2 linked regions of the Caenorhabditis elegans genome follow. The protein of the gene in region 2 interacts with the protein of the main gene of each other region in a pairwise test. Each region holds a gene or a part of one and is shown on either strand. Other genes may lie near its edges.

Region 1 (7,045 bases), on a different chromosome or scaffold from region 2:
TTTAACGAAAAAATGATTTCAAAATGTGGTTTTCAGTGGTTTTTAACGTTTTTCAATGACTTTTTTCCTAAAAAAAAGTTCAGAATAAATCGAAACTTTTCTTTGTTTTTTTTCACAAATTTCAATTTCTTGTTTTTTCGTTGCTCACTTACACTAAAAAATACAAGCGTCGGCGCAGCAGTAATCTTGAAATTCAACGAAATTCCGGGCAAAGCTTCAGCGTCAATGAAGGCGGCACGAAGCGGCAGAGCAATTTCAGCGAGCAAATCATCCAGTAGCTGATTAACTTGCTCACAGCTTGGAGCCCACGATGCGTAGAAATGAAGAACAGCTGGAGATGGTTCCTTAATGAACGCAGCAACCTCCTCTCCTGACTTGATTTCTTGAATTGGCATTCTGGAATTTTTTGGCTGGCAATGGTAAAAAGCTAGAAATTTGAATAAAAAAATTAAAAAAATATACGAGAAAGGTAAAATAAACCTTGAAATTTCAATAATGAATAATGAAAAATATGTTTAAAAATTGAAAATATATAATAATTTTCAGAAAAAATATAAAAAAAAACAATGAAATACGGATCGTTTTGAGATCATAATATAGAAAAGAGATGGAATGCATAATACAGGAGAAGATTTCAATGAAAATAAAAATAAATAAATAGAAGAAGTGGATGGAATTATAGTACACATATTCGACAGCTCAATTCTGAAGGTCTCAACGGGATATTGAAGGAGGTGGAAGGCAACCGAATTTTTTGTCCCAAGCCGCGTAGGCATCCAATTGAGAATCGTCGACTGTTGGCCGAACGACACGAGCTGCTTCGGCGAAATCCATTACAGTAACGGCACGAATCTGAAATTTTCATCGATTAGTTGATTAAAACCGGAGCATTTGATGTTTCAGAGCTCGAGTGTTTATCTAATTTTTATGATGACCGAGTGCAAAAATAGAAAATAAATGTGACAATTCGTACGGCAAATGGTAAATAAAAAATAATAAGATTCGTCAGTCATGTGAGAGAGTTGCGAAATTGTTTGTTGTTGTGGCATGACATTTCATAAATTTTCGAAAAGTGTTCATTTTCGGAACATGGAGGTGTTTTATTATGTGGACGGAGGAAAATGAGATTTTTTAAATTGAGGTGCAATCGCGCTCTAACGCTAAACATTGGGTCTCGTTATGTATAAGAGGAACATTAAATTTATATAATGCGTATTGTGCAACATATTTGACGCGCAAAATATCTCATAGCGAAAACTACAGTAACTCTCTAAATGTCTAATGTAACTCTTGTGTCGATTTACGAGATTCATTGTTTCGAAAATCGTACCCGTAAATCGACACACGCGCTACAGTAGTCATTTAAAGAATCACTGTAGTTTTCGCTACGAGATATTTTGCTCGTCGAATATGTCGTGCAGTACGCATTCTCCGAATTCAGTGTTACCGTAATATTGGCGGCAAATTCAAGTTTTTAATTCGATTTTACTGAAATCATCCGTTTATATGCATTTTTTGATTTATTTTCAGTTGCTTTCTGGTTTTCATGCCGAAATGATTCTTGAAAATGCACGTGAAGCTTCGATATTAACGCATAATCAAAAGCAATGGGATTTTTTTTCTTCCTAACGAGACCCAGCATTATGAGGCGGGGCAATTTCAATTGGCCGTGGAGCGCGATTACACCGATCACAAGTGTTTGATATTAATTCAGAATCCTCACATCATCCTTATCAATCGTCTCAATATCGTCTCCAATGTCTCTGATAGGACCCATCGCTGCTTCAGTGCACAATTGCCTCATGTCAGCTCCAGAATAGCCGTCTGTAAGCTCTCTAATCCGCTCCAAATTATGATTTGTGATATCATGACGCGTGCCTACAAGTAGATTCTGCACAATTTGTGTGCGCGACTCTGGCTCCGGAAGCGCAATGTACAGTCGCTTCTGGAAGCGTCGACGAGCAGCTTCATCCAACTCTTGTGGCCGATTTGTGGCACCCAATACAAGAAGCCGTTCATCTGGAGCCGTATTCACACCATCCAACTGTACCAGGAACTCTGTCTTGATGCGCCGTGAAGATTCGTGTTCCGATTCCGACCGGGATGATAGTAACGAGTCGATCTCATCGATGAAGATAACACTCGGAAGTTTCAGACGAGCAACTGAGAACAGAGCACGAACAAGCTTTTCACCTTCTCCAACCCATTTTGAGGTTAACGACGATGCTGAAATATTGAAGAAAGTGGCTTTGCACTGGGAAGCGACACATCTCCCGATCATTGTTTTTCCGGTTCCTGGTGGTCCGAATAGAAGAACACCTTTCGGTGGAGCACGGATTCCGGTGAAGACGTCACTGAAAAAAATTATAATTGTCAATTAAATTTTTGGAGGATTTTTTAAATTGCTTTATTAGACTCAAAATTGTCTGAAAACACCGAATTTTATAATGAAACTTCTTGAAAAATTCTCAAAAAAAAGTTATGACGGCTCAAAAAATGGCTTAAAATTAGTTAAAATTTGAAATTTGACTTGTCAGCGGATGGAAACAATTTTTTTGAAATCACCGTAAAATTTTGAGTATACAGGTCAATTATCTTGCGTTTTCAACTCGATTTAGGTATTTTAAAGTCGATGGACGGCGAGATTAAAATTGTTTTTTTTTACCAAATCTCGCCGTCCATCGACTTTAAAATACCTAAGTGAAGTTGAAAACGCAAGATAATTACATTACATACTCAAAATTTGACGGTGATTTAAAAAAAATTGTTTCCAGCCGCTGCGACATTGACAAGTCGGTCAAATTTCAAATGTTAACTAATTTTAGGACATTTTTTAAGCCTTCATAACTTTTTTTTGAGAAGTTTCCAAGTAGTTTCATCATAAAATTCGGTGTTTTCAGATAATTTTGAGTCTAATAATGCAATAAAAAATTCGACTACACCACCTTTAAAGGAGGTTTTTTTGCGTGTATAGACTAAAAGCACAAAATAAGCGTTCAAAACCTCGTAAAAATAGCTAATTTTATCTAAAATCTCGAATTTCGTCTATTTTTCCTGTCCGCATCAGCTGAAACACTATTTTATTGAATTATCATCCTTTTTAGCATCTTTTGGTGGTTTATATCACATTTTTTCGTCAATTTAGGTTCATTTAAGTCGATAAAAAATTAAACAATTAAATTAAAAACACCTATCGGCTTTAAGTGTACCTACGTCAACAAAATAATGTGAAATAAACCACCAAAAAAAGTGGAAAAGTTGACAAAAAACGAGATTTTAACCAATTTCAGCCATTTTTGAGCACTTTATGAGTCTGAGCAAGCTAAAAACCCGAAAAACCCTTTTTTTCTCCTTTCAGAACGTACGGTCTTTTAAATGGCAGTACAACAATCTCCCGTAATGCTTTTTTCGCTCCTTCCAATCCAGCAACATCAGCCCATCCGATCTCATTGTTCACAGACATAATTTCCGATTCAATCAATGAAATGATATTTTCATCAAAGTGCTTTAGCGTTGGCTCAGCTCTCAATCCACTCATTTTTTCATCTTTTCCACCTCCTTCCGTATCCATTCCCATCGCCTTTCTGATGAGCGGATTGGAGCATCGTTTCGGGATATCCGGTGCTCTTCTGGCCGGTGGTATCCCTGCCAAGCTTCCAATCGATTGGGAACTGGATTGACGATCCAGAGGCACTTGGAACTTGCTATTCTGTGGATCCTGGCCGGCTGCAGTCGTAAATGATGGATAGAGGGTTCCGAGGGTATTTTGGATAGCTGCTCGGTTTTTCGTAGGTGCTCTGAAACGACGCTTTCATTTTTAAAAAAATCGATTAATATTACGGGAACACAAAATTCTGAGAATGCGTACTGCGCAACATATTCGACGCGCAAAATATTCTTTTTATGACTACTGTAGCGCTTGTGTCGATTTACGGGGGCTCGATTCTCGGAAAAAAAACAAAATTTTCGAATTTTGACAGCGATACTCAATTTTTCTTCGTTTTTTTTTCGAATACCATGGTCATTTTTGTGCTTATTTTTAATATTTTATCTATTAATAAATTACTTTAATTGCAAAAAACTCCAATTTTGGCGTTTTTTTGATGAGTAAGCTCATACAGGCGTATTTTTATATTATTTCCCGCCTATTACGGCAATAAACGGGAAATAGTGTTAAAAAAACGCTTGTGGAGTATTAGAGTATTATCATCAAAATGACGCGAATATTGGAGTTTTTTCAATTAAAATAATTTATTAATGGAAAAAAAATATTAAAAATAAGCACAAAAATGATAAAGGAATAGGAAAAAAACGAAGAAAAATTGAATATCGCTATCAAAATTCGAAAAATGTGTCTTTTTCCGAGAATCAAGCCCGTAAATCGACACAAGCGCTTCATTTAAAGAATTACTGTAGTTTTCTTTTTCGCTACGAGATATCTTGCGCGTCAAATATGTTGTGAAATACGCATTCTCAGAATTTCGTGATCTCTTAACGAACCTGGTCTTCTTAAAGTGCGGATTTGAAGCCACCTCGATGCCTTTCAGCGTATTTTCATGCATTTGCCGAATAAAATTCGGATCAGTTCTTCTAGCATTTGTAGGATCCACTATATCGCAGATTTTGTCTCTGATTTTCGTCACTTTATCGTCGCTTCCAAAATCGAAGCCTCGCATTGTGAACGGCTCTTCTCGGCGTTTTTCCTCCTTTGGTTTCGGAATTTCGCCAAGTTTGAAGCTGCTTTTCTCGCCAAGAAACGGTCGACTTTTGAGCTTCCGGGTGTCTTGTTTTTGTGAAAACGACACATCAACGGTTCTATCTTCGTCTTCATCAATTATTATCCCGTCTAGCTCGTCATCCAGACCATTTTGTTGAGAACGAGATTTGAATGGAGGCTGCTGCTGAGCTGAATCCGAAGGTGTCTCCACGACTATTTTTCGACGGGGTTTTCCGATAAAATACGGACTAATCCCATTGCGAGCAAGAGCCGTCGGTGGGTAAAGATCATCGTTATTTTCGCCGGTTTCGGGCCGTTTTCTCATTCCACTGGTCACATTGAGTTTTACCCGTTTTGGAGAATACATAATCTGAAAATAGTGTTTTTTGACCTGAAAACCCCCACAAAAAAATATTCAAAAAGACTGGGGTAACTTGAACAACTTAAAGGCAAAGGAATAATTGAGCTTAAAATTTATATCGTCTAATAAAATAAATCATAAACAATCGGAAGTGAGAGAAGAAAGGTATGGAATGTATCCAAATGGAATTATTCGAATACTGTTGTGCGATCATTTGTCTACTTTTGCTGCTTTCCATTTTCCCATGTGGTGATCTGAAAAATTCGTGTTAAAACTTGAATAATAAGGCGTATTTAATCACCTTGAGAGTTGCCTCTGGCTTCTTAACAGCGGCCTTTCCTCCGACTTGCTTGGTGCACTTGCGGGTGATCTCGGCAGCGATTTGCGAGTAACGCACGTAGTTGAGTCCAGCGGCTCTCCAGGCGACCATTTTCTGAAAAACATGAATAAAAAAGAAATATTGGAAAAAAGCGACTAATTTTGCACAAGAAAACAAAGAAAAACCGCAATTTTACTAATGAAATCTATCGATTTTAGCAATTAGAAAAGCTATTTTACAATTTGCGATTAAAAAACATTAATTTCATCTAAAAACAGCCAAAAATCAATGAAAAATCACAATTCTACTCTTGAAACAAAAAATGTGTCGTTTCTGCAGCAATTTATCGATTTTCGAAATTATAAAAGCTATTTTACAATTTGCGATTAAAATGTACATTAATCCCATCTAAAAACTAACAAAAAACCAAGAAAAACCACAATTTTACTGATGAGACAAAAAAAAACATTTTTTCTCAGAATTGCCTGTCGTTTCTGCAGCAATTTATCGATTTTAGCAATTATTTTACCAATTTTAATTAAAATAAACATTAATTCCATCTAAAAACAACCAAAAATCAATGAAAAAACGAACAATTTTCTTTAAAAACAGCTAAAAATGGCACAGTCCATGTCGGAAAAATATAAGTTAAAGGCGCATAGACTTTCGCACTCTGGTGGGTCTCGCAACGACATGAAGGAGGCAAACGCGCGAAATTCGAACGGACGACGCTGCCATCTGCCGCACATTCCTTCACTCTCTCGCTCATTTATTATCGGTTTTGTGCTACAAGAGCAGCTTTTTTCGCGATTTTTTCAGTTTTTCCAATTAAAAAATAAAATTTCCATCATTTCAGCCCGGCTCTATAATCCTATAATCTCACTCACCATGAAAACCACCACTTACAACACAGACTGGGCTGCCGAGAAGACGAAAATTCGCAGTTTCTTCGACGAATACTATGTGGACAATGAGGACGGATCTGGAAAGGTATTCCCGAATTTGGTGTATAAATGAGTATTTAAATTCAACTTTTAGGCATTCCCATATCGTGATCAAGTCTTTGAAATTGCTCGCCGCGACAAGCAGGCAATCGTTGTGAATGTTGACCATATTAAGGAATCTGATATTCCAGATGCTCTTGAACTCTCAGAAGCCATTACTTCCAATACAAAGAGATACGAAGTCCTGTTCAAGGACACAATTTCGGATATGATCCAGGACTATCTCGGAGACAAGCAAGCGCCAGTAATCGATGCTCTTGATGCCTACATGTTCCAGCGTCTTCATATGGATAGGAACGAGGGAGCCGCCAACGAGGAAGTTTCTCTTCAGGACAAACGCAAGAAATACCCACCACAGCTCCTTCAACGCTTCGAGGTCTACTTCACAACGGACGATGCCGCCCATGAAACGTGTGTCCGAAACATCAAAGCCACCGAGATCGGGCACTTGGTCTCCATGAAGGGAGTTGTTATCCGTGCGACCGAGGTGAAACCTTGTGTTGAAGTCATGACCTACACTTGCGATACTTGTGCCGCCGAAGTCTATCAGCCTGTGAAGGGAATGCAATTCACCCCACCGGTCAACTGTCCCAACAAGGAATGCGTTGAGGCAAAAGCCAACGGAAGACTTCACATGCAGCTTC
Region 2 (4,762 bases):
CATACGGGAAATATTTGTTATTTTTACAAGAATACAATTCTAGAACACAAAATTAAGTATAGCACCCTATGGCGAAATTTGAAAAAAAGTATTTGTTTTGATTTTGAAAAACAGGGAATCAAAATTTGAATTCAAAATTCCATACAGGAATATGAAACCTTGACAGCTGATTGGTGAAAAGAGTGAGTGAAAACCGAATAAAAACAAAAACATGTATTCATCCGTTGCTTAACGTAATTGAACAACGGACTTTTTGACCAATGTCCTAGAAGATTGCCTAACAAGTTACTAATGGCATACACTTGAAAGACCAACACTATCGGAAAATATGTACAAGTTAAAGCGACCAGAATCAGATTCCATTCTAACGCAACTTATTTGATAGATATGAAGACCTAGTTTTAGTTAGAAGGGGACCAGTGTCTGAACATTTTACGGAAGAATATGGAAGGAATGTGTTGTCCTCGAAATAGGCAGCCCGATCTCTCCTTTTTCGTCAATTTCTTCGGTTACTTTCTTGAAAAAGTGCACGCTGTATTAATAAACGCAGATTTTGCGAACGGATAAAGAATTTGCATAGGTCATACATATACAGATACACACTCACTCAATCGCATACACAATGTTCTAATAGAACATCGTAAAAAGGTGTGAGAAGTGGAGAAGGTGAGGTGAGACTAACAGTGAAACAGAAGGTGGATGTGATGAAGAAACGATGAAAAAGTCGTATGGGATTCTGTTTCACTCCTTAAGCAGAAGAAAAAGAGGAAGCTTCATCTAATCCAACCGAAATGAATGATTTAAATGAAATTAACCGGTTTTCAAGGTTCCAGGGAAGATAAAAGTGCCCCGCCAGGAAGAGAGTACTGATATGAATTATTATGGGAATTCTGGTGACAGTGACATCATTATCAGGAGTTGGGCAGTTGGAACGTAGTCAATGTTGTTTGTTTTTTTTCTTGTAAATATAACATTTTTTTGTAAACAAAACAAGTTATTATTAGTGTCATTTAAAACATTGAGCTAACTTTAAATTCGAACAGTCTACATGATGACTGTGAACAATAAAAGAAAACACTGTTCAGGGTTAACGAGAATTCCTAAAAGTAAAAATTTCCAACAAAAAAAGTGGTTTTTGAAGATCTACGGATTTTGAAGCAATGTTTTATCAAAAAATGTTCCCGTTTTAAACTCAAAGCGTTTCAAACATGCATTCATGGCTTTTTTCATAAAAATTACTGGCGAAATATAGTTTTTAAAATTTTAATTTCTCAGCTTTGAGAATGATTAATTAGGACTTGCTGGTTTTTGGCTATGTACGGTGTAAGGAGGATTAAGTTCTTAGGGAAATAAAATGCAAAAAATCTACAACAGATATTTAAAAAAAAAAAGAAAAAAACTATAATTTAAAATTCTGACAACGACTAATTCTCAAAAAAATGTATAAATATGAATTTGTGAAAAAAAACGCTTTTTTCCTTAACATTTTTACAAGGAATAGGGAGTCTTAAAAATTTTCAATTTAAAAATTAAAAACTAAAATCTAATTTTTATAGATATAACACTTTTTTTAAACAAGAACGAAACACAACTTTCAAAAACAAAAATTACGTGTAGTTTCAAACTAAACAAATATATAAATTTTCGCGTACTTCTCGAAATATGATGTTAATCGCATAAAACACGACTCAAATTACTTACTTCTAATTAGCAACTTTGTAAAGCTATTCATTTCTGTGGGAAAAATCTCAAAATAGAAACACATACGACAATAGTGGATAACAGGGTTGTGATTACCTTAATTGTGAGTACTACTCCGTTCGGAAGGACTTAGAAACAAGAAATGAATAGAAGTTGATTGAGCGAAGGGATGCCAAGTGGACATGTAAAGGATATTCGCTTCTTATGTATTCTTAGTGGTTCGTTTGCCTAATTTGCAAAACACGTGCGGCTCAAACAGGCATTGCTAGTGAGTCACATATCTAACATGTTTTCAAATGAAAATGAGAAATTTCAAAATGGAACATAAACGAGTATCATAAATCAATAGGCGCCAAGTAGCGGGGCATGGTTTGAAAATGTTGAATGGTGATGGTGGAGAAATGGGTGGTGGAAATGGTTAGAGAGTACGAGACGTAGGCGAAATAGCTACACCGTGATGAGAGGTGAACTGCCAGCTGGTGCACAGATTCGATGGTTTATTATGTTAGTTTGCTTTCTTGCCTGTTGATATTATCCTAAGCAACAAGATGATCCGTTAATACTTGTTTTTTCATGATTGATATGGAATTGCATCAATTAAAATGTAGTCAGGTTGATGAACAAGTCGAAAAAAAAAGTTAAAAACATCATAGGAAGAGTCTATAGGAAGAAAAATTACAAACTAGTACTGCTGTAAACTTAAGCTTGCAAGCAAAAAATTGCAAATTCTGAGGGCTTTTAAAACATTCGTAACTTGCCTTGAGTAGCATCTTACTTGGTTGTTTTTTTTAATAGACATAGGTAATTTTCGAGGTGAGATATTTCTGACAATTACAAATGCGGCAATCGAAGTTTTGTCAATTGGCGAAAAGATTTTAAAACAGCAATGTCTGAACATTTCTGGAGATTTCAAAACGTATAAACGTATTTTGTAGTAAAATATTCGCTTTTCAAGCTTGATGTGTCTTGAATTGATAGGTATTTGACGGAACTTTAAAAATGAACAATTATGTCAAGGTTAAATGTTAAACTGTTTGAAATATGACTGAGGTTGAAAACTGCCGAAAATTCTGACAGTCAACTATGTATATGGGGAATTTCGAAAATCTTCACCCTTGCTTTTAGGTAGGTTTACTCGAAACATTTTTTTATGATAGATTTCTTGTGAAAAAAAACGTATGTGTTTGATTAAAAATTCAATATTATTCGGATACTTATTGAAAGTAAAAACACAATTAATATTTTTGATTAACAGAAACATTAACAGGCAAAATCTACTCACCATGGTAAACAGCTCATGTTTTAATAGATCGACGATTCGAGTGAAATAGACGAATGGAGCAACAGAACACGGGAAGTCAAGAGAAAATAGTTGGGAAAGAGTGAGAAACGTGATCAAAAAGTCTTTAAATGTACACTGTCAATAACTGATTAGGCGAGTGAGAAAGTGTGTGTTGGCGGGCAAACTCAAAGGTGTGGGGCAATATTGTTTGAGCGGTTGTTCAACTAACAAATATACATGGACTTTAAAAAAAAATACAGAGAATTGGAAAAATAGCTTTAAAAGGGAGGAGTTTTGAAAGTACTGATAGTTTTGAGTTTGCTGGAAACATTGTTTTAAAATAAATTAAATTTAGAAAACATAAAAATTAACGGTTCCTAAGAAAAGTCTCAAAGTTGCACAGCGTTAAACATATATTAGAAGTATTCATAGAAATTTCAAGCCACTTTCTATCTGTGAATCACTTTCAGCAAGATCAAGACTTAGGAGGATATCCAGCACAATCAAATGGTACTCTCCTTATTATTCGTAATTCACTTTTGATAGTTTCAATGAAAGGAAAGTGAAGTGAAAGTCAATGGTTTTCGGAAGCAAAGTGTTTGAAGTATCTAAGAGCTTCCAGGTGGAAACGCGAATGCCTTTTTTGTGACGGATGAGTAATTGTGAAACGCAGACTACTCACGGAAACACGATACATGGCGATGGCATTGGAAGAGGGCGAACGGTAAGAAAAAAAAGATGCAAAAAGAGGTGAAAACTAGACATTTTCAATATGCTGGATTGAATTCCTATCCTCACTTTGTTACCACTTGGCAGCTGAGATGCCAATGACTTTGCTTCCTTTTTCCTTCACCCCCCCCCCCCCCCCCCCGAGGACATAGGTAGCAGGCAATTATAGAAGACGAAAACATGGGTGATGATGATGATGACGATAATGATGGACGGATAGAGGGTGAAGGACAATAATAAGACGCAGAGATATAGGAGAGTGGAGTGAAAGAGCACGACTGTATAAATATGAGCTCAAGAGCAGTTTATGTGCTGGAGCATGACGAGCTCTTTCGAAAAGAACGCAACACCCTCTCCACGTTTTCGGCAGAAAAGAGTGACAGAAACAAAGAGAACGGTCATAAGCACGAGGTAACTGTTTTTACATGGGATCAGCGTTTGCACGTTGGTACGGATTACAGTTGGTACAACTGAAGATCAACACGTTCCGATGAACAATTGATCATCTAAGAAGGTTCAATAGAACAATACAATGCGGTGGTGTTGGGCAAGGGAATATATAATCAAGTGAGAAAACATTTAGGTGATCTGGCAAATTTGACTGCATTTGAAAAATGATACTTTGTAAAGAACTTATCCTAATATTTTTGTTTAACAACGCCGCAACATGCAAGCGTTTTCTTTGCTGAATGGAATTTTGTTTATAATACTTTCTGCACTTTTTTTTTTGAAATTCGTATCTTAAACTGGAATTGTAGTTTTTAGCCAGTTTATTTTGAAGGAAGTGCCTAATCTGCAATGTAAAGACAATTTTTTCGTGATTCATCATGAGTTGTGTCAGCATAAATATTTGTATTACAGCAGAAAAAGCAAAAAACCTGAGCAAACTCAGATTGTTTGGTTTTTATGTTGATCAACTTTCACAGAAATTTAATTAGATAATAGGTTAAAGAACGCACTCCTGAAAATCTGAAGATTCTCTTTTTCCCATTTGTACTGTACTAGTCTTTTTTTTCGAGATAACATCTGAAAGAAGGCGTCTGCTAAACG

The links.
Region 1: the proteins of sdpn-1 (region 2) and figl-1 interact in a two-hybrid assay, tested with the Caenorhabditis elegans proteins (one large-scale study listed by BioGRID).

Annotation. Positions count from the first base shown.
Region 1 is NC_003283.11:4,340,913-4,347,957, forward strand, and holds figl-1 (Fidgetin-like protein 1), read right to left. Parts: upstream 5,088-7,045; 5' UTR 5,085-5,087; coding exon 4,501-5,084; intron 3,798-4,500; coding exon 3,366-3,797; intron 2,355-3,365; coding exon 1,724-2,354; intron 853-1,723; coding exon 715-852; 3' UTR 519-714; downstream 1-518. Other genes in the region: glrx-3 (Glutaredoxin 3), read right to left, coding at 153-395; hpo-18 (ATP synthase subunit epsilon, mitochondrial), read right to left, coding at 5,297-5,332, 5,380-5,508; mcm-7 (DNA replication licensing factor MCM7), read left to right, coding at 6,286-6,387, 6,436-7,045. UniProt on the Caenorhabditis elegans protein: Has a role in spindle assembly which acts in the progression through mitosis during embryogenesis. Required for fertility.
Region 2 is NC_003284.9:7,995,096-7,999,857, forward strand, and holds the start of sdpn-1 (SH3 domain-containing protein), read right to left. Parts: upstream 3,001-4,762; coding exon 2,984-3,000; intron 1-2,983.